Caenorhabditis elegans: one gene and its partners. The protein of the gene in region 1 interacts with the protein of each later gene in a pairwise test. Each region holds a gene or a part of one and is shown in the gene's direction. Other genes may lie near its edges. The genes, in order: tbx-39, irx-1, ceh-23 and fozi-1.

The links.
Region 2: the proteins of tbx-39 (region 1) and irx-1 interact in a two-hybrid assay, tested with the Caenorhabditis elegans proteins (one large-scale study listed by BioGRID).
Region 3: the proteins of tbx-39 (region 1) and ceh-23 interact in a two-hybrid assay, tested with the Caenorhabditis elegans proteins (one large-scale study listed by BioGRID).
Region 4: the proteins of tbx-39 (region 1) and fozi-1 interact in a two-hybrid assay, tested with the Caenorhabditis elegans proteins (one large-scale study listed by BioGRID).

Annotation. Positions count from the first base shown.
Region 1 is NC_003282.8:15,320,345-15,326,947, forward strand, and holds tbx-39 (Putative T-box protein 39), read left to right. Parts: upstream 1-3,548; coding exon 3,549-3,745; intron 3,746-3,797; coding exon 3,798-3,984; intron 3,985-4,038; coding exon 4,039-4,845; downstream 4,846-6,603. Other genes in the region: Y73F8A.15 (DUF38 domain-containing protein), read left to right, coding at 1,277-1,442, 1,634-1,836; tbx-40 (Putative T-box protein 40), read right to left, coding at 6,595-6,603.
Region 2 is NC_003279.8:9,534,077-9,543,479, reverse strand, and holds irx-1 (Putative iroquois-class homeodomain protein irx-1), read left to right. Parts: upstream 1-2,513; 5' UTR 2,514-2,594; coding exon 2,595-2,615; intron 2,616-3,147; coding exon 3,148-3,609; intron 3,610-3,809; exon of another isoform or gene 3,810-3,949; intron 3,950-4,204; coding exon 4,205-4,564; intron 4,565-5,064; coding exon 5,065-5,275; intron 5,276-6,281; coding exon 6,282-6,361; 3' UTR 6,362-7,015; downstream 7,016-9,403. Other genes in the region: C41G7.15 (Saposin B-type domain-containing protein), read right to left, coding at 9,170-9,403; C41G7.7 (uncharacterized protein), read left to right, coding at 8,418-8,438, 8,485-8,596, 9,013-9,101.
Region 3 is NC_003281.10:7,836,498-7,843,620, forward strand, and holds ceh-23 (Homeobox protein ceh-23), read left to right. Parts: upstream 1-3,094; 5' UTR 3,095-3,096; coding exon 3,097-3,169; intron 3,170-3,409; coding exon 3,410-3,582; intron 3,583-3,635; coding exon 3,636-4,033; intron 4,034-4,596; coding exon 4,597-4,870; 3' UTR 4,871-4,994; downstream 4,995-7,123. Other genes in the region: ZK652.8 (uncharacterized protein), read right to left, coding at 6,297-6,333, 6,418-6,518, 6,713-6,825, 6,875-7,123. UniProt on the Caenorhabditis elegans protein: Probable transcription factor. Required for differentiation of AIY interneurons, acting downstream of LIM/homeobox protein ttx-3. Modulates gene expression, acting downstream of AMP kinase aak-2/AMPK signaling. Modulates lifespan.
Region 4 is NC_003281.10:9,279,016-9,286,501, forward strand, and holds the start of fozi-1 (Formin-homology and zinc finger domains protein 1), read left to right. Parts: upstream 1-2,765; 5' UTR 2,766-2,918; intron 2,919-7,486. UniProt on the Caenorhabditis elegans protein: Acts redundantly with hlh-1 to promote body wall muscle cell and coelomocyte specification in postembryonic mesoderm progenitors, probably through suppression of sem-2.

The DNA of each region.
Region 1 (6,603 bases):
ATTCAAATTTTCAGTGAAAAAAATTTTGGCGGGAAATTCAAATTTTCAGTGAAAAAAATTTTTGGCGGGAAATTCAAATTTTCAGTGAAAAAAATTTTGGCGGGAAATTCAAATTTTCAGTGAAAAAAATTTTAGCGGGAAATTCAAATTTTCAGTAAAAAAAATTTTGGCGGGAAATTCAAACTTTCAGTGAAAAAAATTTTAGCGGGAAATTCAAATTTTCAGTAAAAAATATTTTAGCGGGAAATTCAAATTTTCAGTAAAAAAAATTTTGGCGGGAAATTCAAACTTTCAGTGAAAAAAATTTTAGCGGGAAATTCAAATTTTCAGTAAAAAAAATTTTGGCGGGAAATTCAAATTTTCAGTGAAAAAAATTTTGGCGGGAAATTCAAATTTTTAGCGAAAAAAAATTTTGGCGGGAAATTCAAATTTTCAGTGAAAAAAATTTTGGCGGGAAATTCAAATTTTCAGTGAAAAAATTTGGGCGGGAAATTCAAATTTTCAGTGGAAAAAAATTTTGGCGGGAAATTCAAATTTTCAGTGAAAAAATTTGGGCGGGAAATTCAAATTTTCAGTGAAAAAATTTGGGCGGGAAATTCAAATTTTCAGTGAAAAAAAAATTTGGCGGGAAATTCAAACTTTCAGTGAAAAAAATTTTGGCGGGAAATTCAAATTTTCAGTGAAAAAATTTTGGCGGGAAATTCAAATTTTCAGTCCAAACCTATATCTCTTCAAAAGACAAAAACACAATTTTTCCTAAACTACAGTAATCCTACCGTACTCCTACAGTACTCCTACAGTACTACTACAGTACCCCGCCCATATCCCCTACTAACCCCAAACTGATATCCCTCCAACAGCCGAAAACGCCTTGCCTTTGTAAGCTATGACGTCACTTCTTAACAAACGGACACTATTTTTTTATATATAGGTAATGATAATAATAGTTAATGACATAAAAAAGATACTGTACTGTTAATATTAAAAATAGTATGTTTCAGCTTTGTGACAAAAGGCCAACGTTTTTATTATAACCATTAAGCACGGCCTCTGTGAAATTAAATAATAATTTTGAAATTTTAATTGAAAAATTGTCCGCTTCAGAAGGAAAAGGAAAAAAGTTGTTTATGAACAAAAATTCGCGTTAATTTTTTTTAAATTTTCACGTAAACCCGTGATGCTCTGGAACTTCCAATCACGTGGCTTCTGACCACGACACTTTACTCAATCAATTCACTTCAGTTTTCATAAAACAACACTCTCCTTGTCCGCCAAAATGGGCCTCTTTGCCAGTGCTCCAGTGGATGATGGTTCCATGGAAATCGTGCGAGATTTCATTCAAAATATGGAGAATGATGCTCAATCATCGAATAAAAGTGCATTTGCTGACTGTTTTATGGATACTTTCAATTTTAATGTTCGTGGGAGGATTTTTACCAAAGGTGAGTTTTATATGACTATATTCTACGTCGGAAAGGGAATGGTTATTCCATAAAGTGAGGTCATATAAGCAGTTTGTGAAACATTAGGAGCAATTTTTTTGTTGAAAATTCCAGGTTACCAAGTAGTTTTTCATAGTGAATTTTAGAATGTTCAACTACTAAATACTCTAATGATTGTTTAATTTTTTCAGCTCTATTCGTGGAAAGCTACCTTACCAAGCCGAATCCCGAGCCATTGATCCTCAAATCATCGATTTTTACTCAAGGAAAAAATGAAATCAAGTTCAATGTTTCACATGTAGTTGGGCCAAGAACCAATATTGCTGATTTCTATCTATTGCGTGAAGGAGAAGAAGGAAAATGGAGACTTAAATCTGGAATTGTTATCAATTAATATTCCATTGTGATGAATGAAGTAGTACTTGATTAGAATAAAGAAGTTGCTCGAAAAGAATTTTTGTAAAGTTCTGATAATTTTTACTGTTTCTAAACGTTGGTAAATCTAAACGCATAACTTGTTGTTGATATTAATATGAATTTTAAAAATGATTTTTTGATTCCAGTTCCAATCAGAAAATATTGTTGGGAGAAAAACATAATAATTGCAAAACATGGTGACAAAGTTATCAGGACATTGAAACATAATTTTAATTTCAGCATTAGTTAATTTTTCGGAAAAAAATACAATTATATGCACATGGAATTAAATAGAATGGCTACTCAAAAAAATTCTGTCTTTAACTTTATCAAAATTGTTTATCTACATATTGCGTGTTTCACTATAGTAATTTAAAACACTCCGTAAATACTTTTGTATTACAATTTTAATTTTAATGTCAACATGCATAATATGCTCAATGATCCGTTCAACCTGTATTCCTTGATTGTTTTTGGATATTTTTGAATTTGTCAGCTCAATAGTTTAGTTATGTACATATATATCTCAGTAAATTGTAAACCGAAGCTATATTCTTACCGATAGAAAAATATTCAAGAAAAAAGTAACTTCTGTTGGGATTTTAATTAATTAATTCATATTTTCGAGAATAAATGTGGCATATTTCACTAACATCAATAAGGCCACCAAACAAATTGTCTTACTCTCATTAATGCAGCAAATGTATCACAATGTTGAAACAGCAATTTTTATTTTTTTTTTAATTACAGCTTATTAATTCTCTCTTTAAGAATGTGATGTCTAATACATATTTACTAATACTGACATAGTGTTTTGCAGAGCGGAGTAGAATTTTCATCCAAAATAGAAACTTTTCAAATAAATCCTTTTCTGTCTGAAATTTTGTTATTAAAATAACGTTTGCAATGAAATGTAAACCTATCATTTTCTATATTTTCAATTTTGTAAAAGTATACACTTTCTCACTTTTCTGCTTATTATCTATCAAAAGACTAAATATATTTTCCCAGTACATAAAGTTTACAACCATTTGGATTGTCAGGTGTGTGTCCGGAAATCGATCGAAAAGGAATGATATGTCAAGGAGAAGGAAGTAGAGTTGTAAAGTGGTGGATGTTAAGGTGGGGGATACCTTGCACCTATTGTCATTATGTGAATGACAATTGGGAAGAATATAGGTCACCAGTGGAACTGTAACGTAATGTTTTGGAATAGACAACTTTGACATGAAATATTAATATGTGAAAAGGTAATCTGGAATAGAGAAGCACGCAGAAAATTGACACTACAAAATAAAAGTCTAAATGTGGATATCCTTAAATAATTTGCTTTGGATCGGGTTTTAGTATTTTTATTTTAAATTAGTAACTCGGGCGTTTTTATCAAATGCGGCAGCACTCAAAAAGTTACTGTTTCAATATAGTGATTAAAAGGACATCACTATATAAAGTACGATTTCCAGTTTCAAACAGTTTTTGTTGAGCAATTCTAAGAGAGCAAGTGAATACAATCAATCGATAATTGGTTGACTCAACCCAGTGCTCAGGCTCCGCCCACTAAGTGGGGTCTAAAACATTAAAGGGATAGAGAGGATCATTCATTATAATATTTTGTTTAGTATACCGTTTTTTTTCTTTCATACTTCCTATTAATATATGTTGATTTTTTTTCAATATTCAGATTCAATAATGTTTTCACAAGCTCAATTCAATGTTACAATGGCTGAAGAAGACCGATGGAAACAATGGTATCCAAATATGGAAATGATTGTGAATAATAAAGGGCCGAAACTAATTTTTCCCGAACTCAACTTCAATATTACTGGATTGGAAGAGAAATCGAGATATGTTGTACTTCTTTCAATTGAAAAATATGACAATATCAGGTATTTTTTAATGATTTTCAAAGTCACCATTAAAGACAAATCTTAATTTCAGATATGGATACCGAAATGGAAAATGGGGACCTTCAAAAGTCCGTCATGCAACGAAAAAAGAACAAGAAATCAAATATTTCTTACATCCAGATGGAACAAAACTTGGAAAGGAATTGATGAAGGAAACTATTAAATTTGATACAGTCAGGATTACGAATCACAAAAAATTCATGGACAAGGATAATGTGGTTAGTTTGAATTTTTAATTCACTAAATAATATTATAATTAATTTTTATTTCAGTTTTTCGTGGAAACAATGCACAAGTATGTTCCAGTCCTCACTGTCAAAAATATCACGAATGTTGAATCTGCAAATCATTCTATGAGAATGGAAGTAGCCCAATTTTTCCCAGTCACAGTATACAATCAAGAATCGATCGGAAATTGGAAATCTAAATTTCACAAGAACTCAACATATGGAAATAGATTGGATGGGGGAAACAAGAGAAAGAATACTGATTCGAGTGAAGAGCGAACATCAAAACGATCAAAAAATGAAACAGAAATTGCTGTTTCGGATATCCTTCAAGTTGCCTCACAATCAGAAAATTATAATGAGTCCACGAATTCTGGAAGGCTTCAAAATGAGATCAGTTCCTCTATTCACCAGTTCCCATCAACTTCCTATCAAAATCAATATCCACATGCGTATCCAACAGTCAATACTCCACCAATTTATGTTCAGCAATTCACAGCTCTATTTGATGAAATCCACAATCAATTCGATCCGAAAACTAAACAAAATAGGGTTGCAAAAAATGTTCAGTATCTTTCAAGTGTACCACAATTTGCGATCAATCAAAAGGAAAATATTCATCAGAATGCTCCAGATTACCCAGTCTCTCAATTTCCAAATCAATATCCATATGGTTCCTATCCCTATTATTATCCATATTTTCAATCCAGCCAACAGTTTCCACATCTCAACTATTCCATGAATAACTCTATTTATTCTGATTCCTCTTTCCAGTCATCATTTTCTGCTGAAAATTCATATTTCGATGAAAATGGAAATCCTATCCACTATCCATATTATTCTAGCAATTAATTGTCACTTCTTCATTACTAACCCTTGTTTCCTATTTTTTTCAAATTTTCCTGTGATTGTTTTGACTTCTCTGTCCATATTGACTTTAGCTCATTTTGTTTAATTCTGTAAATTATTTCTCACCTAATTTTCTGTTTCTAGTCGCAATAATTTGTAAATCAATTTTCTTTTAATAAACTTTTAACACTAATCTTGCTTTACCGTTATGATAAAAGGGCTCAGAAATTCATACATTATTCATTTTCAAAATTAAACATTGCACTATTAATCCACTATTGAATAAAAATAATTGCCAAAATTACAATTTAATATTATAACGTGATGGCAAAGTTTTCTAAATGCGCGTCCAATTTGTTTCATTTCTGCAAACACCGCGACGACAAATTGCATACCGGGTGTCAGGGCGGGCGTGAGGGGGGCGCGGGAAAGAGGCGGGCGAAGGGCGCCCCCGACACACCTCGCCCGGATGGAAAGCCTATTATGGAGCTGCTTAGCAAAAAAGTTTGCTTTTTTTTTTATTTTAATGTTTCAATTTTGATGAATCAAGTGTGGAATAGAAACATAAGCACATCATTTTTGCGTGTCAAATTATTCCGAATTTCGGATATTAAAATTTGAAATTTTTCAAATTTTTCGATTATATTGTGGGCCGCAGATACGTAACTTTACAAAAAAAAACAGGAAATATACCAACTATGTAAAGCAGACGACTTTTCCTGTCGTTGATTTATTTATTTTTTGGTACTTGAACATTAAATTCCCTCACTTTCAAAGTTTATTTTTTGAACAATGAAAAATATAAACTTTTTTTGCTGCTAAATTATTTTTTTTGTGGAGAATATTATTTTTTGAAATTGAAACTATTCTGGTTATTTAAAAAATTGTATTAAAAAAAAACTGTATCAAGTTGTAAATAATTGGATTGCATAAAAACTTACTGTTGATAATAAAAATAATAAAAAATAATAATAAAAATTCAAAGTTTCCTGTGAGTTTCTTGCCTTCTTTCATTTTGTTTTATTTTGTAATTTTTTTCTGACTTATTTTACTGTTTCATTCTCAGTTCTTTATGAGTCAATTTTCCAGTGAGTAAATATCAAATTGTACTCAAACTATATGAAAATATATCAACAACTTGAAGCAGACAAATGTTCCGCCAGAGAGTCAACCAACTTTTAGAATTAGAAAACCTCAATCTTCCTTTCGTAGAATTATTTATTTTTTTGAAACCATGAAAAAATAATTGAGGAAACAATTTCTGCTCGAGAATGTTTGTATATTTCTACAAATAATTTCAAAAAGTACGTTTTGTTGTGGGGAACATAATTTTGAAATTGAAAATACTCGATATTCTGAAAATGAACGTAAATTTGGAGAACACTACTGTTTCGAGTTTTAAGTAATTGGTCAAAATGAAAACTTACTGTCGATTATTTTGTCGAATTTTTTTCCTGGTAAAAACAGAGTGCGTAAATATTAATTTTAGCATTTTTAGCAATTTTTGCAAAATAAAAGTGTTCAACTTTATTAATAGAAATGGAAATCAGATACGTAAAAATTGAAAATAAAGAAAATAGATCAGAAATTGAGAACCACATAAAACAGTATAAGTAAAAATTGAAAAAAAAAGTCTAATGTATTCACAGGAAAGTGTTAGTTGGTTTTTAGAGGGGAAATATGGAAAAAAAAACCGTGAAACTCACTGGAAAACATGATAAGGAGGTACTCATACAGAAATGAAGATACAAATTATTTGTA
Region 2 (9,403 bases), on another chromosome or scaffold:
GATCAGATTAAGATATATTGTTGTACCATCTGAAATATCCCACCTGCTAAAGTTCTTCCAGTTCATGCCCCTTTTTGTAGACACGTGTCATGATGTATGAGTTGATCGATGTGTTTTGGTACAATGGCAAGAAGGTGTCTCTACCAGCTGTTAGAATAAGAACTGTAATTATAGATATGGCAATGTATTCAAAAACACTCTCGTACTTATATTATGGGTATCATAGAGATTATTGCAACTTTAATAGAGTTGTATACTGGCAGACAATTTTTCTATATCTGCTCTTGGTTAAAACAAAGTAATAATCCGAATGCTCGGTATTCAAGTAGTAAATTCAATATAGAAACTTTTCATTTTCATAAAAAAACGCGATGAAAAGTTTATGATAGCAGGTTTTGCTCTTGATTTTTCTGGATTAACGGTCTTTAAATTTTTTTAGTGACAAAGCTATAAAAAACAACGGCGGCAAAGAAAATCCCTAAAAATTATACCAAATGTTTTTAGCTTGAAGCTTTTAAACTTTTAAAAGGGAAAAGCCTTGCGTGTTTGGATCATTTCAAGTTTCTTCGTTGAAAAATACCCCATTTATGAGTTAGGAAAACCACTATTTTGGAAGTTCTTAAAAATCAACAAATGTTCTTCAATCTCTTGGGTACATTCAACTTCTTCTTCACCGTCGAATTCAACTCTTCTCCCGCTTTTTTCGATTAAACGGAACGCTTAACTTTTCCGTTAATTACCTCCAAGTATTTCCTTTCTGCAACCACTACCGTATTCCATGTATTTAACAAAAAAGTGAGCAGTGTTTTCACAAAAAACAACACCGCTCTCTGGAAAGCACCAAAACCCATTAACTAGTTGCTTCTTCTACTTCAATTCCACAGCTTCATCATCTTCTGGCTCCAGCTCCTCATAAATTGTGCCGCGACCTCATGTCTACACCCTCCTACCTCCCGTGTTCCTCCCCCGGCGATTGACTCCGCCCAATGACTCCTCCTCCATCGCTTTCTCATCATCGTTTGACATCAATCTCCCTACCATACACCTTTTTGTCTTGTTTGGCTCATATGTACCTACATCTTCCTGTATTAGTACAAACTTCCGCCATTGAACTTTTTTTGTTGCAACTTTATGTTACTATATATGTGTTGTTGTTACATGTTGTAATAACTAAATGATCGAATGACCCAAAGAGAGATGTTAACACAATAACTGACACAATAGTAAATGTATTACACCGTGTCCTCTTTTTTTACCTTTTTCTTCTCCATTTTCTTTTTCTTCATCATCGTCATCAGCGCCATCGTTGGCCACTTACTCTCGCCGGCGCCCCCTATCCAGCAGCTACACTTCTTTACACCCCGCTTCGGACAACAAGAGACATGCCATTTTAAACTTCTATTCTCTCAATTCTTGTCCCCCTACAAACCGTTCTGACCATTACCTAATTGCTTCTACGATGTATCATTCTTGACTTAAGTTCACTGATTTCAGCTTCTTCTCCTTTGTCCTTTTTTTGTTCGTGGCGCCATTGTGTGTTCGGGTCATTTGATAGTACTCTCTAGATTTTCCGTCGTTTTACTTTTTAACTTTCAAATGTTTATACTTTTTTTCTCTTCATCCTGCCAATATTTCGGATTAAACTCTATGCAATGATCCTTCCAAAGCTTCCTCTTCCCGTTATTTGCTTCAATTTTCAGTTTCCATTCGTGAGCCAGCCAGCAAATTTACAACTTGTTTGCTCTTCGTCCTTGTGAATACATTTATTGAGATTTTTGGTTCTTGTATTTCTTAATTTTCATTCCCAAACTTGATAATTGGTAGAGGTAGAGAGGTATTAGGTTCGAAAGATTTTTTTTGCACAAAAATAACAATTCTAGAATCAAACTTGGAAATAATAACACTAAACAATGAAATAGTAAGATATCAAAACCATCATCATTCTTACAATCATTAGCTGGAACGGTTAATTGTTTATCTTTCAATCTCTTTTAGTTGCCATATCATCAATTTGTTTTCTTTCCGTTCGATTCTTGTATCCTTCATCATCATCTTCTTCTACTTCTCTTTACTCCGATTCTTTTCCGTTTCTCTTCGTGAATTTCTCCGGTTTATCTTGTTAAATCTACGTGTTCGCACGTGTTTTTTGCGCTTCTTCAATTTCTTTCCCTACTCTCCAGGCCCCGCCCTGTGGCTTCCATGTCTATTGGATGGTGGGCGGGACTTGAGAGAGAGAGAGAGACACACACGGCCCCGGGCGGGCATCTGCAGAAAATCGAGATTGCTCAACAAGTTGTTGAACATAAGGTCCCACATAGTTCTACATCATCTCAATTTCTTCAAGAATTATCAATCAAACCTTTTCTCTTTCTCTTCTATGCTTATCACTGAATCGCTCCTCCTTTGCTCCCTCTTGATTTCGTCGCCTCTCTGCCTCTCTCTCACTCTCTCTGTCTATCTTTTTCAACAAAAAACTGCTCTGGAATTATAACTGATATCAATGTGTTCTTCAGATCATAAATAATCATACTTATCAACTATTGTTTCTGCACTTGTACTGAGATCAACACATCTACTTCTACTACACCATCACAATGATTCCTATTGCCAATCAGGTCAGTTTTTAAGCGATAAGTTTAATAAGCTAAATTATAATTTCTATATTCTCAAGTAGTGTTCTTACATTTATTTATTTCATTTTTGTCCTTCTTGACACTTGGAGTCAACTTCCTGCTCTTTCCAATTGCCATGTTAACCTTGCACCGCCACTGCTTGGCGGTTTATATCTCGGTTGCCTTCAGCTTTATCAAAAAGTGTTATACAACCAAAACATAGAAAATTATTTTGCAAGTAAATTGTCCGTTTGAAGTTTTTTAATAAAACCACAAAGAACTGAGATATAAACTGTCAAAGTGAAGGAAGAGGGGGGTGCAAGTCTAATATAGAAAATTGCAGTTGAGAAGTTGTCAAAGCTTGGACAAGGTTTTCGTTTTCGATTCCTACCAATTTTTACATAAATCTTAGATTAGACAACATTTGAACACAGTCTCAAAATACTTCCTTCCAAAAAATTTAGATGCCAAATGTCAGATTTATTCGTTTGGATACCTTCACTTCACCTGACTAGAAAAGTAAATCCATTTCCAGGTCAAAATGGAAGAGCCCACAACACCACAAACAACGACTCCTGCTCCACCCACTTCAGCTCCGGATGCACTTCGCGGAATTCTGCCACCAAACCTTTTAGGTCAATTTCATTTCCATCCTGCCATGGCTCAAGTTCTCGCTGCTCAAGCTCAAGCCGCCGCCGCCGCTCAACAAGCAACTCTTGCTGGCTTCCCCGGAGTTCCGATGTTTCCACATGGAATTCCAGCAGATCTGAAACCAGAAATGTTATTAGGTGGAGGGCCAGGACCGATGCCCATGTTCTTCAGTGATGCTCATCGTTTATATCATCCATATGGTTTAGATGGAATCAAGAAAAGAAATGCAACACGAGAAGCAACTGCACCACTCAAAGATTGGCTTCATTCTCATAGAAAGAATCCATATCCATCAAAAGCTGATAAAGTTATGTTGGCAGTTGGTACAGGAATGACACTTACACAGGTATGTTGTATTATTTCTTGTTTTGACAACAATTAGTAAATGCAACACTGTGAAATGATTTAATAGCCGTAATAGCCTATTACCAACCGTAATCTCGTAATTTACTCCACAATATTTGCTCAATTTATTAGCTCACACGGGATTTTAGAGCCGCCTCTAGTCATCAATTACAAATACCACAAAAAATATTGTTGTAAAATGTAGTAGACAGTGTTTCCCGCAGTGTTATTGTAACATTAGCCACTCACCGGCCATCAAACCCCGGGGGCAAATGTCTCCTTTTTTGACCGATGCCAAAAAAAGAGGGGCGAGAAACAAAAGATGTACAGAGGCGATAAGCGATGATGATGACACCTCGTACCCCGCTTAATTAATGTGTTTCGAGAGACATTCTTTACACAATACGAGAAATGTTTCAAACCAAATAGGGCTACTACTTGTTTGATTTTGTTGCAATAGACCAACAACACACAACCTTGGCGCCAAAAATTAGATTTTAAAATTGTTTGAACCAAAACTTTGAAGTTATTTTATTAAAATAAACTCTAGCCCGAAAAACAAAGCCGAAGCTTGAAATTTATATTTTTAATTACAGGTCTCGACATGGTTTGCTAACGCCAGAAGACGACTGAAGAAGGAGAACAAGATGACTTGGTCACCACAAAATCGACGAGGCGATGGTTGTGATGACGATGAAGACGACGATGATGATGACATGAACCGTCCATCAAGCTCAACATCCATAAATTCCGAAAGAAAAGGAGAATCCCTATTCGGAAAGCCACATCTAGCATCACCAACGCCTTCGGGAGGATCTGGAGGATCAGATGAGTTGACAACACCGAAGAAAGAACTAGTATCCCCAATTCCAAATGATGATTCTGAAAGTCCGAAGCGTAAACCAAAAATGTGGTCGATTGCCGATGTCACTTCAGATGACGATTCATCAAAGAAGGTGAGAGCAAAAAAGTTTAGATCATAAAATACATTGTACAGATTTTATAGTTTTCCCCATCTTCCCTCTTATTCTAACAGTTTTACGAAATGGACTTAAAAACTATTATATGTTTAGTAGGGGCAAATAAAGAGTCCTCCTCTCCCTTCATCTTGTTCTGCACATTTTATAGAGATGTAAACTAGTATGAATCATTTGTATGTGTGTATGTGCAAACTTGTGAGGTGAGTGTGAAGCAGCCGACAAAACTGTGCCGCTTTAACAACAAACATGATTGAATGATGGTTTTATACATTTTCATAAAGTACATTAAGGAATTGATGGGAGATCAGGGGGTCATATTGTAAAGTTTAGGCATGGGTTACTGTACTTGGAAGATACATTGAAGCATACAGCAGTGCCTTTTGGCAGCTTATATTTTTCATAAAGTTGTTAAAGTGAAGTAATTTAGTTCAAGATGATGAATAATGGTAACCCCTAGCAAACATCTTTTTATTTAGGATTCTCCACCATCATCAGACGAAAATCTATTAACGGGAAGCTTGTTCCAAAACGCAATGAAAAAACAAATGGAAGTAATGGCACGATTGGATCCAACTTTGTTCCGTCACACAATGCACCCATTCATGTTCCAACTTCTAGCCCAACAAGCTGCTCAAGGGCAACAACTTGCACTTTTGGCACCACAAACAACTCCTCCAAATGAAGCAGGTGAGGTGAGCAGGTGAATACACTTTTCTTACATTTTGTTACATGGCAACCTGTCTGCTTTTTCTTATCATTCTTTTTTTGGGTATTCCGAATGATTGACAGCTAGTTGAACACCGTGCGTGCTTGTACATGAACAAGAAAAGTCGAAACGTAATCCTCTTAATTTTAAAGTTGTTATCCTGTCGTGACGCTCAGTTTTTTTGCTATTTAATGCACTAATCATCCCATATTTACTGATAATAGGTGTATGTTTTCTGATACACATTATAAGGGGAAAGTTCAGTAGCTACAGCTTCTAGATAGGCATTAACAAAAGAGGGTCTACACTTAAGTTCTAGATCCTTTTCAAATGTTTTAGCTCAGAAAGAGGAGTTCTTTTCTATGTAATAATTTTGTTCGAAACGTCAAAGGCAACGAAAAAGGGCTTAAACTGAAGTAAGTGTCTCCTCATTGACCCCACGGATTAGTGTGCTCGTTTTTCTAAACCGCGTGTTCTTCGTCACTCAGTTTTTGTCCAAAAAAGGAGCGCTGCTCCCGGAGTCAAGTCACCGAATGATAAATTGCCGATTTGATCCGTTCGTATAGTTGATGGGAAACACTTTCTTATAACTTATTGAACATGTAAAAGCAATTCTAGTTGACCAATATGGGGAAAAACTAGAAAGCCTAGTCTTATTTGAAACGTTGAACTGAAATTTCTCAGAGCATTCCTTCAAATACAAGCATGTCAAGCTGCTCTAAATCCGGATTTTACATTATTTTAGTGATTTTAAGGTTGTTTAGATGCAAAAAACATTCTGAAAGCTTTTTGGAGATTTTAATAATTTTCAAAAAATCAGATCATTTTTCACACAACTCAATCTTAAAACTTTCAAAAACTAAAAATTTCAAAAACTTTTGAAATATAGCTTAATTGACTTGGTGCCTAGGTTTATTGCAATATACAATATTTAAAAAATCTTTGAACAATTTTTAAGCCTTGATTTTAATGAATAAATAATTTCAGGTCTGAACTCTCAAGCGGAGACGTCGACGCCATCTCCAGCATCTTCTCCAACGTCGTCTCCACGGTCCCACCAAGAGTAGAAACCCCAGCTTATTAAGTTTAATTTTTTTAAATGAATATTGTACTCTCTCAAAGTTTCACCTCCTCCACTAAGAACTCTGAAATCGAGAAAATATGATATAAACAGCGGGTCTTTGAATTTCATTTTTTTCTCCATCCCATTTAAGTTTCGATTATTTTGGTCTCTCTCTATGTACAGTACAGTATTGTCTCCCAAATATTCACATCCCATCAAAAATTTCATTCGGTTACTGTAGCACCATATAGGCTTTTTCTTTCTCATTCATTTGCTTTTTTATGTTCTTTTAAACTTTATATGAATTCCATGACTATGAATTTTTTGTCTCTCTTTCTCTATTTTTTCCCCCAATTTCTCCCAGTTTTTTCTCACATTATTAACATTATTATTATTTCAATTCCACACAATTTTTCACAGGATGCATCTAGTTTTTGAGCTTATGATCGGTTTTCTCAATTTCCCGCCAATAATTGGAGTACTTTAGAAACAATTTTCTTTTTTTCTTGCTTTTTCCCACCAATTCGCTTCAAATCTCTTCACGCAAACCCACTTTTCTTACAATCCCATCTCATTTCTTTGACAATTTACAGTTTTTTGTGAGAAAGATACAACAACCTGCACGCATAATTTAGAAAATGAAGAAGGTTTAATATTTATTTCTTGAATATATTTTAAGCTAACAAAAAATCATGAAAATGGATATACATTTAATTGCACAAAATACTGCAACCATTTCAAAGAATTGCAGGCTGAATTAGTGACAACATTTCGGTTATCAAGAACGTGCACTTTTAAAGTAATTTTGAGCATTGCTTCATGTTCAAAAACATAGAATTTTTAAAACACAAATGGTTATAGAAACAAAATTAAAAACGTATAAAACTGGTTGATGATATATTTTTTTTGGTCGACTGTCAAATTATGATTGGTAAAACTAAGTTATCACCACATTTTGGCTGTAAATAAAAATTTCTGAAAAGGTTCACAATGATATTTAGACGTTTTAGCGTTTTTTTTTTAAATTTCCACTTAAAAATTCAATTGAAGTCTTTTTAGTTTATTTTCCCATTACTGTTTTTTGCCGACCTCTTGAAATTTAGGGGATGTGTAAATGTAGACATATGTACATTTTGGAAGCTTTTTTTAAAAAGAAATATCATGATTCTTAAAAAATCTGATAAAATAAATAAATTTCCACTTGATAAAAAAATTCCAGATTATGTATTGTCTTGTTAAATGTTTTGACCTACTATTTACAAAGCGTAGTTTCAAATTAATGTGAAAAATGAATCAGTGAAAACAAAAACAGCAGATTTCATTCATTAGACACACACACACACACCATATCTCTAAAAACAAGGAATTACATGCATTTTCTCTTTATTTTTCCACATCTCGGTGACCCATGTAAACGCCTAATTGAAAATGAGATACGACAACGACGTCTAAACAAACATCGGTGAAGCTTAGAAAACAATGAATTTGTGTTGTCTGGATTCTTGGAAAATTTGGAAATGAGACAAAACCAAATTTGCCACCTTTATATTTAATGTTCCACATTTTAGAACTGTTTCAAAAAATATAATTTTTAATCGTGGATTCTAATTTCAGATAACATAATGCAATAAAGGCAGAATGTGCTTTAAATCGTTTGAAATAATCGCATTATTCCAAAATACAAAAAAAAAAGAAAAAATATTTAGGCACAATACCGGAATCTCATTTTGCATCTTTGAAAATTAAAAAATCTTCTCAAAATGTTTTCAAATCTTTAGTTAACTGTTTTAAACACTTGCTATTATCAATTAAACTTGTAGAAATCAATACCTGAAATACCTGAAAATGTGGTATTTTTCTATGCTGTATTTGCTTTTATCCTTCAACATTTCAAAGTTTCTTTCTTTTTTCCATTATTCATGACTATACAATTTGGAAAAGCATGAGCAAGTGAATTGTCTCTATGGATACATCCTGCGCATTTGAGCACATAAAATATTTTTCAAGAAATCCTTTCACCATTCTTTCTTTTTCATTATTTGTTCAAAAACATCTCAAAAATGTCAAACGTTGACCGATATGTAAGTTACCCGCTTAATTTAATTTTTACTAATTTTAAATTTTCAGGATGTTCACCGGGATGGTATTGAGAAAGATCGAAAAAGGTCTCGAAGCCGAAAACCTCATCAAAATGGTCAAAGCCAGTCAACTATGGATAACCGTCCTCCATGGAATAATGGTAATCAATGCATTATAATGGGATTTTATTTATTTATATAACTCCCGAAATTTGTAAATAGCAAATATAAAAAAAATTGTTTTATTTCTAGTTCATATTTCAATTACCTTTCAAGTATTATTATTCACACATTGTCAACAGTCTTCAAAAGTGCTCAAAATACCTCAAAAAGTCACAATTTGTAAAATGTTTTTTTTTTTTTTTTTTTTTTTTTTTTTAAATTTACCAAAACTTGGGCTAAAATTTTGAAATCTTGAAAAATGTTTTGGAGTCTTCAATTATGATATATGTGGATGTTTCTGACAAGAAGAATAAGTTAATTTGATGTTCAATTCCGCAACTACCTAAATATTTTTTAATATTCAAGAAAGTTTTAGTTGCTTATTTCGTACTGACAAACTTTCCAATTTTTTCAGATACATACATCGAAGGATATGATGATGTTGATGAGCATGGAAAGTTCAGAAAACGAGGAGGTGGAATGCCAAAGACTATTGACAGACAGGTAATGTTTGGGATAGGAATAACTGATATATTCAAACAAAAAAAATTAAAAATTTTAATGATTCAGTGTTACGAGCAAATTTGACTACAAATTGGGCCTTTGACTGTGTTCAAAACGAATTTAAGAATTGGCCAAGTATGAGTTGCATGAATGGCTTGTGCCAAATGTCGACAACCCGTTGCAAAGATTTGGTTTTCAATTGAGTCACATACGAGTTTCAGCAAAATTCGAGCTTGATCATCGGTTTCTAGAATACTTATAGTTCCACTGCAGACTAAGCAAATTGGAATGTCAGCTCCATT
Region 3 (7,123 bases), on another chromosome or scaffold:
GTGGATTTACATACATAGAACTTTGCCTACGTGCCTGGGAGTTTCTATTAAATAATTTTAAAGAAGTTCGCCGCATTCTAGAGCAGCCTGACAGTTCTCAAATAAAGCTTTGAAAATATTTTTCCGACGAACAGTTTCCGAACTTTTCAATTTTCCAAAGATACATTTTTCTAAAAAACACCCGAATTATTTGTTCATTAAAACTAATTATTTCGTCACTCGTAATATGAATAAATGGAGTAAAATTAGAGAAAAAAACAGGTGAATGTTCGTAGTTTTTCCTTTAGTAAGCCATGATCTCATAGGTCTCAATCGTAATATTGGATTGAATCAGAAAATTATTCAGTTACTAGTGTGAGAGTGTGTTTTTATTTGGGTGTGTGTATTTAGACATAAAAGTAGTGGCGGCAGGTGGAAAATTGGGATTTGAGAGCAAAAATCTAGATGAAGAAAAAATTATGTTTGCAAGCACACTTTGTTGGAAAAATTCGATTAGGTCTTGATCTACTAGAGCGGAGAAAAGATTTGATAATAAATTAGGCGTTTAAAAACTTTTTGCGTAATATCTACGTAGGTTAAAAAGAATTTAATCAAAAAATGAAATGCCACCAAAGATTGAGAAGAGTTTAGAATTTTATAAAAAATGGCTTTCACACAAGTTTCGTAGAAAAAATTGAAAAAAAAACTGTGGTATTCGGAAAAAAGAACCCAAAATCAACATGAAAATACTCAAAAAATGTCCCCACCGAAAAATTCTATAGTTTATAATATACATTTTAAAATCAAAAATAAATATTAAAGTATTCTTTTTAAAAAAACTTGCATTGCCGGCAATTGCCTAATATAAGGTAATTGTTGAAAAACCCAAAAAAATCTGAAAAACTGACGGAAATTTGTTATTCAATCGCGAATTGTTCGAGGTTCTTAAAACAATATTTTCGAATCAATCAGATATTTTTACATTTACAGAAAATTATCATACCAAAGTGGGCACTTTTGTGGATTTGCCACACCCCTGGTTTTGAATTCAAATATAAAAAACCAATATTTGATGGTTTTACAACTTTGAAACTTAAATCTGAATTTTAAGGATTCATGCATATGTACAGTACATAGCTCATTGCACATTTACACGTCATCATTTCGAATAATTTTTAATCCTTTCAGATCATCCAATTCTTTATCCACTTGTGACTTTTTTTCCCAATCACGTCAAAAAAGTTTTAAGACGCTCCAACTAATTATCGAATCCACTCGGCTCAATCCGGATAATCCTCTCACTCCCCCCGCCCAAAGCGATTATTCGATGAACAAATGATCTTTATCACTATAATCATCGTCAAAGCTATCATCATCAGAAGGTGATAAACTACATAGCTCCGCCTTTTCCGTTTTTAAGCATCTACGCTTTTTTTGCTAGAAAAGGCTAAGAGGGCGGGCTCTCCTTAAAAATTGAGGATATATAAAAGATTGTTTTCTAAAGCTGTGATGTGATCAAATAGTTATGATTGGGTGCATTTTTTGTGTCATAATCTTTGAAAATATTTGTATTTTTTATTTGTTTAGATATTTTCCAATTTCTAGCTCCGACCTTCTGATTTAAATGAAACATGTGACCTGCGAAGAATTTGAATCAGAAGTTTCATAATTCCGGCTTCGGGTCAGAAAACCCACAAATCATATTCTTAGTTTTTTTTGAAGGAAAGTGGTAGGTATTTAATGTTTCTGTATTGATTCTCAGAAAGTTAGTTACATCAGGTTTAGGTACCTACATAATTGTTCAAAATATGATAGTGGCAAGTTTTTAACATGTGTTTCAGTGGAGAAAAGTATGAATTCTTAGAAATTGCATTAAAAATAACAAACCTTGAGATACCATAGTTATGTTAACCTTCAAAACAAGTACCGTATTTCCACTAGTAGTAATGCACTTTACTCTTAAACTTTGGCAGCGTTTGTCGTAGTTTTTGTTCGTTCTATCGAAAAATTGTCAACTGATAAATAATTTGTTTGATTTTTTTTTCTATAGATTCGCAGTTATCTTACAAACGAACAGTGGTACAATCTTTTAAATTTAAGCAGTTTCAAGTGTTTTAATTTTTTGTGGTATTAGACGTTATTAAGAGCAATTTATGTTCATGGCTATTCCCATAAAACCTCAAAATTAGTTTCATTTTTGATCTTCTTTTTTCCAAACATTGAGACTTCCTTGAAAATGACAAATAATTGGCTTCCATTTGCATGTAAAATATGTATAACGTTCGATCATATTTAAACTTTAAAGCACATTAGCCTGTGAGCTTTGATATCTGACTAACAGAAATATGTTAGACACAAAATTCGATTGCTCTCAATTTTATATTTGAAACTTTCGAAATTTTCACCAATTAAAAATTTTACACTTAAAACTCAAATTGTTGAAAATAATCTAATAGGTTGTAGTAAATTGGAGCAGCTGCAGAAATCGAGAAGGAAAATTAAGTTTCAGATTTTTATTTTAAATTCTCACTTTTTCATTTCTGATATGCAAAAATGTGATTAAATAAAATCCTCCAGACATTCATTATCTACGTCTTCCCATCTGATTCCATTCATCTTTCATAATCCGATTAGCAATTTCAACATTTCCTGGAAACACTGATCTTTAAAAATTAATCCTTTTCATTTTTGTTTCGTCTGACTCATTTAATAATATCTACACTGATATACCTGCACAACACACTGACTACTATTATTACTTTTACTACTACTATGACTACTATAATCTACTAATGAGTGGTAAATTTTGAGCTTTGATCATTCGTTCACATCCCTTGGTAATTGGAGAGAAGCAGTGTATTTTCATATTCCCAGACTCACACGTTTTTGAATTTGTCTGCAATAGTGAAAACTTTAGTTTCTATAATTTACCATTCAGGGGTATCAGCATTTTATTGCACCCAGTAATTTTAGATAATTTATGGTTTGAATCTGTTTTTGTCCAACTTGATCTGATAAACTTAGAACAGTAAGTTCTACAATTGCCAAACTTTTAATTTTTTACCTCTTTACATTTTTCAACATTTTTACATTTTTTGATTAATCTTTATTTTCTAGATGGACACCCATCTTCCATTCCAAACTTTGCCAGTTTCAACGCCGCTGCCTGTGTCTTCATCATCTCTAACAGGTAACATCAAATCCATTTTGAAATGTGCTCTTACACAAAGCTCCTTAATATCCAAATCGCATTCCCCCACACCATTTAATGATTTCATGACTGAAAACCATCTGTCAAACACGACAATCATCCGATTTTCATTGCTGATAAGCTGATTTCGGGAATGATGATGATAAGATTTGTTAGACTTATTCAAAAATCGAGAAAGATGAGAAGCTGTATGGCTGACATATCATTTTATGAATTCAGACGTTCTTCAAACAATTGCTGCTTTACAAGCCTGTCCCACATCCTGTATACCTTCAACATCAACTGGAATGCTTTCACCGAATCTTCCCTTCTCGGCTACAATTCCACGTGTCAACTTGTTCCCACCATCACAACCAGCCAATTCTTTAATACTGCCAACAATTCCAGCACAGGTGAATGATTTTCGTATTTTCAAAAAACCTCTTAACCCCTTTTGTATTTTCAGCCTTTTATTCCAAATCCATCTCTCCTGCAAGCCAATCCATCTGCTGTCGAAGCTCTTGCAAATGCACTTTTTGCAACAACAAGCCGTCGGGCTTCTTGCCCAGAACCTCCTGCATCCTCTCAAGCAACCGTCACGCTTCAAGTCCCATCTACGGGTTCTCCAGAACGACGACGTTATTCAGAAACAAATATGGAGGTTCTGCTACGTGAACAACTTGCACAATTGATGCCTCCAACCTCTCAACTACCCGGAATGCCTGGATGTTATTATCAACATGTTCCAGCTGCTGGAACTTCAGGAATTCAAGGATCATTAGATGCGGCGTTAATGGGAGCTGTTCCCTTGGCTATGAATAGTATGGCACATAGTCGGAGAGCAGCAAATCATAGAAAAGCAAGGTAAGGAGAATAAACCAGCAAAATGACACATCTTTGTAGCATACTCTATCAACTTTTTATCAATCTTTAGCACAAAATCTGCAGCTTTTCAGAAAAGAGCTTTTTGACAAATTTTCATTTACATTTCTTTGAAGCTGTGGCGTTTTTTTTCGAGAAGAAGAGCACAATATACTTGTATACTGGCTTCTCGCCTCAAAAATTGAACAAACCAGTTTCAGAAAACTTTCATAAAAAAAGTCAGAAAAATTGTCAACGAATCATAGAACCATCAGGTGACTCATTTAAGATTTTATAAGCTTTATCAAATCCTTTGACGAAATAAACATTTACTTCATTTCCGAAAGGAAGTTTTTTGGCCTCTGACTTGAAGTTTTTAAAAATATAATTTATTTATCTTTAGAAATTCTTAATCAATCTAAAATATAACTTTGACGCAAAACGAAGTTCGTGGGATAATTCATACGTGCCGAATTGAAAAGAAATTGTTGGTTCCCACAGTAAGAAGCTGAAGAAGATTGTTTTAAGATTCTAAACTAAAGATCAAACAAATTCAAAGTTTTCAGAACAATCTACGGTACAACACAAACTCAACAACTGGAAGATATGTTTAAAGGACAAATGTACGTAGTCGGAGCAGAACGAGAAAATCTTGCTCAACGCCTTGGCCTATCACCTTCTCAAGTTAGAATTTGGTTTCAAAACCGGAGAAGCAAACATCGTAGGAAACAACAAGAGGAGCAACAGAGCACGACGTTAGAAGAAAAATCTGAAGAAATTGGAAAAGATGAAGAGGAAGATGATGAAGAAGATGAAGATGATGTAAAAGTTCTGAATTAATTTAATTTTTTTTTTCGTGTTTACTTGTTTATTTCCTGCCATATTCTGTTTTAGAAAATAATTAGAAAAAATGTGTATATTCTTGATTATAAAGCATTAAACAAATAAAGTTTTATGTGAACTTACTTGATAGGTTACGTTATCAGGAAATGGTTCGGTGCTTCAAAGAAAATGTGAAATCTTACAAGAAAGCTTAGCGAATGGCTTCAATTTTTTCTAACTCAATAAATAATCAATATTTTACAAAAAAAGTATTGCGAACAAGAGGTAAAATATTTCTGATCACTTTGTTAGTTGAACATTTGGTTTTTAGACGTGTATTTTTCCAGATACGCCAGTTTGAAGATACGCAATTTAGCGAGTCCTTGAAGTTTTGTGGATATATTTAATTTTGCATACGACCAACTTTTGAAAAAAAAACAGTAAATTCCACTGAACAAACCGTAATTTTCCACATTGAACAACTTATAAATAAAGTCTGTGTGATAAGTTGCCAAAAATTGTGTGTTTAATCGAAATTTCTGATAAAATTCAAGTTATGCCACCAACCAAAAATTGGTTTGAGAAACATCTTGTCTTTGGAATTCTACATTTCAACAAATTTTAAAAATTATACAGATTCTCTTAGACAAGTGTTTTAGAAAAAAATAGCTTTCAATTGCCTCTTGGACGGTTCAAAGTGACAATTTGAGTGTAAAATTTTCAAGTTTTAGCTCCATGTTCCGCCATGATTTTGCCATTTCATGATGGTTTAAAAACCAAAAAAAAACCAACTGAACATTTATTGACTGATTTTGAGTAATATTTTAGAAGAGAATGAAAAAGAAATTAAAAATATGAGAAAGAAAATTTGCTGTGAGGATTTTTGAAAATAAAAAAAGAAACAAAACGGGGAGACTGAAAGATGTCTGGGTCTTCTGAAACATAAGAAAGTATGAGCCGAGAAGAGATGACAAAAATTGGAAACAAACCTCAAGCCATGTATATATTTTAATGAAAGACAGGGACAGGGAAAAATGGGATTAAGTTTAATTGAATGAAGAAAAAACAAACAAAAAAAATAAAAAAGAAAGAGAAGATCTCGTAGATTTCTGGCCTAAAACAGGAAAAGTGGATAAAAAAGGAAGTGGCCAACACTATATCACTATTGAAACAACGGAATGGGAAACCAGCTACTTTTACAGGACGCGGTGGTGGAAGAGTTTAAGCACGGGGATACTAGTTACAGAATTGGAATATGTTGAGTTGATTTGAATATTTTTTAAACATTGATCTAGGTTTAATTTTAAAAAAACATTATAATCAACTATGTTATCCAATTATTCGAAGAACACAGAACAAAGGACTTTGATTTTTGGAACGAGGATAAGTTGAGAAGACGTGGAATGCCTCGAATGGTCATGAAGAAGGATTGCTGCAGTAGATATTACTTGCACGGATTGTTTTGCAGGAATTTCTTCCATCTGCAACAAAACTATTCTACATATGTACATAAAAAGCCAAGCATTTTGATTAATGTAAAATTAATGTAGATTTCGGGCACCTACCTGATTTCATGACGAAGCTCCATTCTTTCGATATCAATGCACGCCAATTGAACATAGGTCTCGTTTTTCTTCACTTCAGATCCTAATCGAATCATTTGGCACTAAAATTATATTAAGTTTCTTCTAGGCGTATACAGTTGGAATCAAATACTGCTTCATTTTGGATACTAATGAACAAATATTTCAGCTACCGAATGTTCCATCCGGTTCCACCCGGCAGCTTTCTTATATCATTTAGTATTTTGGAATTTTACGATTTTTTCGTTTATAAGTCAGTACCCAATGTTTAACTCACATCAATATCAACTCGCTTATCGTGTACATCGTGAAGCTCATTGAGCCAAATCCTGGTCTGTGTTTCCACGTTTTCAATTTCCTTTGACAACTCTTCAAGTTCTTTTTGTTGACCTTTAAATTACTTTTTTAGTCTTATTCCTTCTACAGCTTAAACCCTTACCATTTGCCTTTGCTTCATCCAAAAGCCCTCGAATCTTCTTGTGCTTTTCCTTCAACTCTCCACCGGTAGCCGTCAAAATTGTCATCTGTGCCTCGTTCTGTTTCAGGTCCAAGGAGCAAGCCTCGAGTTGAGCACACAGTTTCTCGTGGCGTACCCAGCTTTTTTTCATTTCCTCTTCGCCCTCGTTTGGCTGAAAATTCCGTGATTTGTCCATACATTTTGATATACAAAAGAAACTTACATGTTTAT
Region 4 (7,486 bases), on another chromosome or scaffold:
GTTGCCATCGTATGTTCGCTTTTAAGTGGCGGAAAAAGGAGAAATTGGTTTGCGAATGCGTAGATAACACATTCAAAACACAGATAGTTCATGAAGCATTTCAAAATGTTCGGGTCTGACATTGAACAATTATAGGTTTCACTTATTCACTAAGGAATTTCACGCATAAGTTCAAATGGAAAGGAAATGAGTATTGATACTTTTTTTATGAAGTACGGAATTTCCTAGGTTGATGTAATCGGAAATAACTTTTTGCTTCGGGGTTAGTTTTAAAGAATCATATGTTTGATCTACTACAGTGCCAGCTATTTTTTTCCAAAATTTTGCTTTTTGTGATTTCACAATTTTTCGAATAGTCCTAACTCTAAACATCTTACAGCTTAATCTACGTCTTTGCAATGATTTGGAAACATTTTTTGGAGGGAACAACATCGCAGTTTTGTAATTTTCTGAAACATTATTTAAAGTTCAGATGGGTCCCGCCACGAGAAAGACATTTATGACAAAAACTTTTGATTGTTGGTGGCCACTTTTTGGTGCCCAAAAGACTGTAGACTATACATTTTTTCGCCGAAAGACCCAGACTAGTAAATTTAATTTTAAAAAATCTTCAGAAAAATTCAAAATTTCCTGAGAAAAAAATCCGGAATTAAATTTTCCCTAAACCTAAGTCCACTCAGTGTTCCACTTTTTTTTTTCAAATTTCGAATTATACAGTAATCCAAGTGCATCATGCGGGCACTCGTTAGTTCCTCCCAAAAAGTTTGTTTAATCGTTCCGCTAAAGTTTTTTCCAAAACACTCGGCACATGGTCATCGCCCAGCGCCGACAATTTATGCCGTTTCGTGTTCGCCGCCTGTATGAGAACACAGTTGTCAAATGCTCATTTTAGAGTACGGTAGCTTTCCAGATTCCATACGTATCTATTTCTCATTACCATCTGATTTTAATCCGTCTTTTCGTGTAATTCACACGGATAACAAACAAACTTATACAAACAAAAAATAAGCTCAATGGGTGGGATAGAAGAAGGGGGAGAGAAGTGGTCTGCGTCTCGTGAAAGTGAACAATGATTGCGTGAAGTTCAAACCAGATGTGGATATGTGTCTAGGATTTTGGAGATTTTCAGAACTAGAATTTAGGTTTTAGGCTGACTTTTTCGAGATTACAATGAATGGTTTATTTTCTTGAGATTTTTGTGGGTAGCACTACCTTGGAATACCGTATTATCCCTGCCAGACTTGAAACATTTTCAGTGTCTTTCAACATACCAGAAAAAAGCTAAAGCTTGCGCTATGAGTTTTCTTGATTTAAAACTTTAAAAATAAGAACTTTCACCTTTTGAAATTATTTACATTTCTTCGAAAGAATCGGACTTCTACAGACTACAGTTTTCAAATTTATTTTCCGAAAATTTTCCCACTGTTTTCTTAGTTTCTCTAGAATCTTTACCTGCTCAAAGTTCACACCTATTCATTTTTGTTTTCCCGTTTGTTGTTTTTTTTTTCATTCACCTTTTCTTTTTCCCCCATTCATCGAGCTTTTTTTGGTGTCTGTCATCGAGTCCATGGGCTTAGCGAGGCTTGAAGATGAGCGCGCGCAACTTTTCGCGTTGATTGTCGCATTATTCCCCCGCGATCCCATTTTGCTCTTCTCATCGCAACAGCAGCAGGCTCACACGTCGTTATAGTCTCCTGTTTGTTTCGCAAAAAAGGACTTGGCGTCCCCGAGAAGAAAACGATACGCAAACACATATATAGATTGCAAGCAAGAGTGAGAGGTGTGTGCAAGCTTAACTCGGAACACAACGGGAGCCACCTCTCGACCTTGTATGGGAGAAGAGTCAATGCGCCTGGAGGTTGAGAAAAGAAAACAATGATCTTGATCCAAAATGATCTCGATTTCTTTTTTGAGCATTTCCAAACATCCAGAGAGCTCATACCGTAACTTCCTACTATTTTTAACATCAAAGCTCTATATGCTATAAGATTATGAAAAATGTGATTGAAAAATGGAGATTTTGAGAACATCCAGGGATCATCCAATGGTGGTTTACAACTTTTGATAGCTTATTTTATCCATTATAATATCCAGATTTTTCACAATTTGTCACTTGTTATAGTAGCTTTGTGACAGATTTTTATTTTATTTTTGCTTGAAATGCTCTCCACAGGGTGGTTTTTTTCGCTGTTCTCTGTATTTGAACAATTTTTTAAGATTTTTTCAGTTTTATTTCAGCTAGAAAAGTTTAGAGTAAATAGGCTACGGTATAAAAAATAGGTTACGGTAGAAAAACAAAATCTTCGTAAATTGTTTAGATTTTTTGAAATTTTCAGTTGACGATTAGGTAAAATGGTAAAAAAGAAATGTTCAAATGAAAATATTTTTAAAAAAATTTGAATTTCAAAAATTTGTTGCAGAAGTTTAGAGCGTTCATGTAGGCGCCAAAACGTCATTTCTTAATTTAAAAAAAAGTTCAGAAAAATGCGCGAAGATGGTGTGAGGAAGCCAGTTTTCAGGCAGGCGCCATGTTTTGAAACCGAGCCTGCCTTGTATAGAAGCAATGCAGAAATGAACATTTTCATGTTCAACATCTGAAATTATGAGTGATTGCAAAAAAAACCATTTTAAAACATTTTTTGAAAAGTTTACTTGGCTCTAAATTTAAAACTTTTGTTTTTCAGAAACCTAAATCTTCAATGTTAGAAGCTACCGTAACCCTTCTCCCCCGTTTTCAAAAAATCTCATCTCTCCTTAATTTGTATTTTCAGAGCATCCTACAACCTCTTCTCCAACGTGCTCCAGCCAACTGACCACTTCACTCTCTGAAACCGTTCGCAATCAGCGGAAGACGCTGGTGGGGATTCGTCTCCGGCCGCCTGCGCCTGTACACACAATGACATAGACACAAAGAAAAGGTGAGGAGTGTGATCGTATTGAGAAATGTGCGAAAACGGGAGTAGGAGCTCCTGTGCTCAACCTTCTTATTCTCTTTATTTGACATATCGAGAGCATAGAGATGGACACCCCCTTAGAGCCACATTTGGACTTAGGCCAACGCCTGTGGTAGATTTGAAATTTCTAGTTTCTTGTTATGTTGTTTTCTTGTTTTGCTTTTCACCTTCTGAAGCTTCAGAAGCTTCTTTTGCCATCATCAACCCAATTACTATAAAGTAACAGAAACTTTCGCTGATGCTTCTCTTTCCTTCGTTTTTCTGGTACAAGTATCCGCCATCGAATGAAAAAATCTTGTTTTTAGCCCTCCCTAGTGTTCGTTGATGTTTCTTTTGTACATATATCCGTCGCTCTCTCCACCTCCATCTACTTCGATGGCAGTTGTTTTGGTGCAGGCACCAGGGGCGCAAAGGTGAAAGTGACGAAAGAGGCGTGGCAACCAGGAAAGAGTGGACCCTTAGTTTCCCAACGATTCGCCGCTTTCCCTCCATTTTCTCTAAACTTTCTCAGCTTTTCGGCTTTATCGACAGCTTCGTTCACCGTTCTCGATCATTTTTCTCACCTGAATTTTCAAAACTTTTGTCTTTTTTCCATGGAATACTTTTACATTTTCTATATGTAGTTTCATTTGTTCCAAAAAAATAAGTATTTTCTGGATAATAGGTTTCTGTATCTAAGTTTACGGTAGGTGCAAGTAACTTTGCGTAAAAATTGAAAATTAAAATGATTACTCAACTTTTTGAATACCATATTTCTCTAAAAAAGACTTGTCTTAGACCTTGCTCAACTTTGACAGTTTTGGCTCCAAATGGTTTCATCAAACAACTGTCAATTGACAAAATACGTGCAAAATATTTTTTCTATATTTTGATAGTGGAACATTTTTTGATAAAAACCTAAGAAAATCGAGATATAAGCCACTCAAATTATAACATTTTTTAGAAGCTAGAAAACGTAATTTTCAGTTTTACCTTGTCCCCCTGAAAGTTCATGAATTTCAATTTAATTATTTTTTTCCAAAAACCGCATCGTGCCAAAGATTTTCATTTTAAGCTTTATCCTAGATCCACCCGACCAGATTACCATAAGTTGAACTTGTTTTGTTTGTTGAGTTTTTATTCCAGCAAAATCGCACCGTATCTCATCTCTGATTTGTTATTCCCATTGTTTTCTGGTGGAGGTTTCGTATTCGAAATTTTTTTTTTAATTTTTAACGGCAATTTTGAATGTATTTTTCAAATGTTAACGAAGAGTTTTTTCGATAGTGTTACTGGATCTTTGATAAGCATATGATCTTCTTAGCTTTATCGTCTGATTTAAGTCCAGTAAAAAAATAATCTAGAAAAAGTTGAGCAGGTTTTATGACTGTTTTTGTGAGGAATTGTAGATTTGATTGAACATTTTTATAATCTAAAATTATTTTTAACTCAAACTTCAAAAAGCACTTCAAAAATGCAACGAGTATGATGGATGGAAGTCAACCACAAAAAAACATATTTTTTAGATTTCTAAAACTGAAGGCTCTAATTTTTTAAACATTAAGTTTCTAGTAACAAAGTCAAAATTTACTCTGCTATTTCGTACTAGCTACTTCCTCATTTCGAATTTTCAACTTTGACCTCATGGACATATCCACGTGTCGACACAATTTCTAATCGGCTAAGCTCCTACTTAGTCAGTTTTCATCGCGACTAATATTTAACAACGATGGCCTTATCCTATTCAGTTAAGCCTTGGATTCAAAAATTTTGAAAATCTCATACGAAATTGAAAACCTATCAACGTATCAAGTTGGTGTCGGGTCTTCTATATTTTTTTTGGTTAAAAAGAAGATTGAAGCCCTTTAAATTTTATCCAGCTTCATCGAAGATTTCACAAATTTCAATGAAATTATTCTTCAAAAATCATCGAGTCTCCTCCCTTCTTCCCCCACTTTTTCGACATTAACTTCCCATTTTTTGAGAGGTCATCAAACTTTTAATGATCTCTCGAGTCGTCCATCAACTTTCACTCATTTCACAGTTGTTTTACGGCTCATAACTCCGCGAATCTCGCACCCATATAAACTCTCATTTTGCTTGATAATTTCACACTCAGTTGCAATGAGTACTGTAGTCTTTATGAAGTCTAAACTTAAAATTTTCACGCCAAAATAATGTGAGAATTTTAAATTTTCTAACCATGATTGAGAGAAATTTCCAAAAAGTTACTGTATTTCCTTACATTACTTCACTTTGAAAAGTTACATTTCGGTTTATTTTGAAGATTTCAAATTTTCGTACTATTCCTTTAAAAAAACATAAATAATAAAATTTATGAAGTATCTCATTGGTTTCACTGCTTCATATTTCTGGGAAATAAAATATTTCTATTGACCTAAACTATCTTAAAATTATCTATATTCCAATTTAATACTATGTACTTTCCATCTCACCCATCTACCGAGTTAACTGCAAAATTTTTCAAAAGTTATGAAACTAATTATTCCTCCGGCAAACAAATGTGCCTATCACACGCTCTATTCATACCATATTAACTTGCTAATCAACTACTTTTGTGTTGTTAATCACTGACACATATGTAAATTTCATCCTCCAATATCTCGCTCCTATTGTTCCTCCTGTTTTTGAATCATGGTGGTGCTGCCAACTCAGCTCCACTTAGGGGCGGCGCCTGATGTCCAATTGGGCTCTGCCGGCTTTTGCTACCAACTCATTACTTTTACACCTACGGTACCTATTTTTTGTGTTTTTCAGGATACCTCTCAACTATTCATCAGCTTCATCTAGTCATCTTCTTTTACCTGTAAGTAGTGAACAAAACAAAAACTCGAAGATCCAATGTTTTGCCTCCTTGTAATAACTAATTCAAAAGTTAAATTGGAGGCCCCTTCTCTTCGAATAACTTATTCTCAAGATGTGAACACTCGCCCATTTTCAAAAACATGATTAATATTTCTCGGTAATACGATACTTGTCTCTATATTTTTTTCTAAAATGCGCATCTTCCTTATACGTCTAAACAAGAAGAAAAAAACCGAAAAACAATTATTGTTTTTGAAAAATGAAATAGAATTTGAAGGAGGTAGCCGTCCAACTTCTGACTATTTGGAGCTAGGGGCGTCAGTTGGTGAGCTCACACCAGGCGCCGTGCCTTGGTAAAATTTGAAATGGTGTAAAATCACACACGTTGGCAACATCTCTATTGCGCATTCAGTGTAAATTTAGCAACTGTGCAGGGAGAGTTGTGTATAGGACTTTGGCAATATGTGTTTGGGTGAGCCTAAGCCTATCCCTAAGCTTAATCCTAAACCTGCACCTAAGCATAAGCTTAAGCTAAGCCTAACCCTAAGCCTAATCCTAAACCTAAGCCTAAGCCTTAGCTGAAAAAAGTCTTTCAACTTCTTTTAAAATCTCAAATCCCCATATTTCCTTTTTTTTTTGTTCAATCAATTGGCAACTTCTCTCAAGTTTAGTCAGAATCTGTGACGCGTCCGCCTTCTGAATACAAACTGGGGAGTAGAGCATGACTAGTATTGTAGTTACTCCATGAATCTTTCGTTTTTCTGACTGATTGTCAATCACGCCTAGTAATGTATCTTTGCTTCATGAAAAAGCTCACATTTTTGTTCATTTTGTCGTGATTGTTTTGTTGCTTGGACAACTGTTTCTACATTATTGGTTTGAACTACAGATGTAGCTGTTGAGTTGACTTAAAAAATATATGTACTGTATAATTTTTGAAGAGTTTGATTTTTATTACTGTTGAAAGTTGCTTAAGCTTTGAAAAAATCAGTTCCCCAAGAAAACGTCTTACATTCTTAAGCCATTTTTGTCATCATTTAAATTTCTGAATATCAAACCTTCATAACAATCCTCAATTCATTTCGCTACAAATTACTGTTATTCTGCCAACTCTCAAAATCACTTATTGACGTGTGGGTCCGACTCCAAAATTCTCGATAAAAAATTGTATTTCTTATTTGTCGCAATTCTCCCTGCCAATCGTCAAGTTGTACAACTCAGTGCCATTCATTTCATTTCACTTTTTTTCAGATCCCTTTTCCATTGCAACAAACACATCAAACTGAAGCAGCCACCGTTCACACTGTAAGTATATGGAAATTGGAAAAAGTAGAGCCAACTCCCCTTACTTCGAGAATTGTATAGCCTAGTACATTGTACAAAGTCAGTTCCAATTTGAATGCTTATTTCAATGGAACTGCCGCCGCCGCGTGCGCCAGTTTTAAGGAAAGAAATTGTACATTTTATGTCTAGTTTTTTTCTCAGTTGAATAAATCTACAGTAACCCGAGTAGGATAGCCTTGAGATCCGTTATTATCATGCATGTGGCCATTGTCATTATTATTATAATCATTATGAATAAATAATGAGGCACATGCGCCTCTGGATTACTGTAAACATAGTTTTATAATTATATTCGCTGTACAGGCATTTTTTGCAATTTTTGTATGAAACCTACTGCTCTACTTTGACGCTGATATCTCGGCTGTATTAACTTTTATCAAATT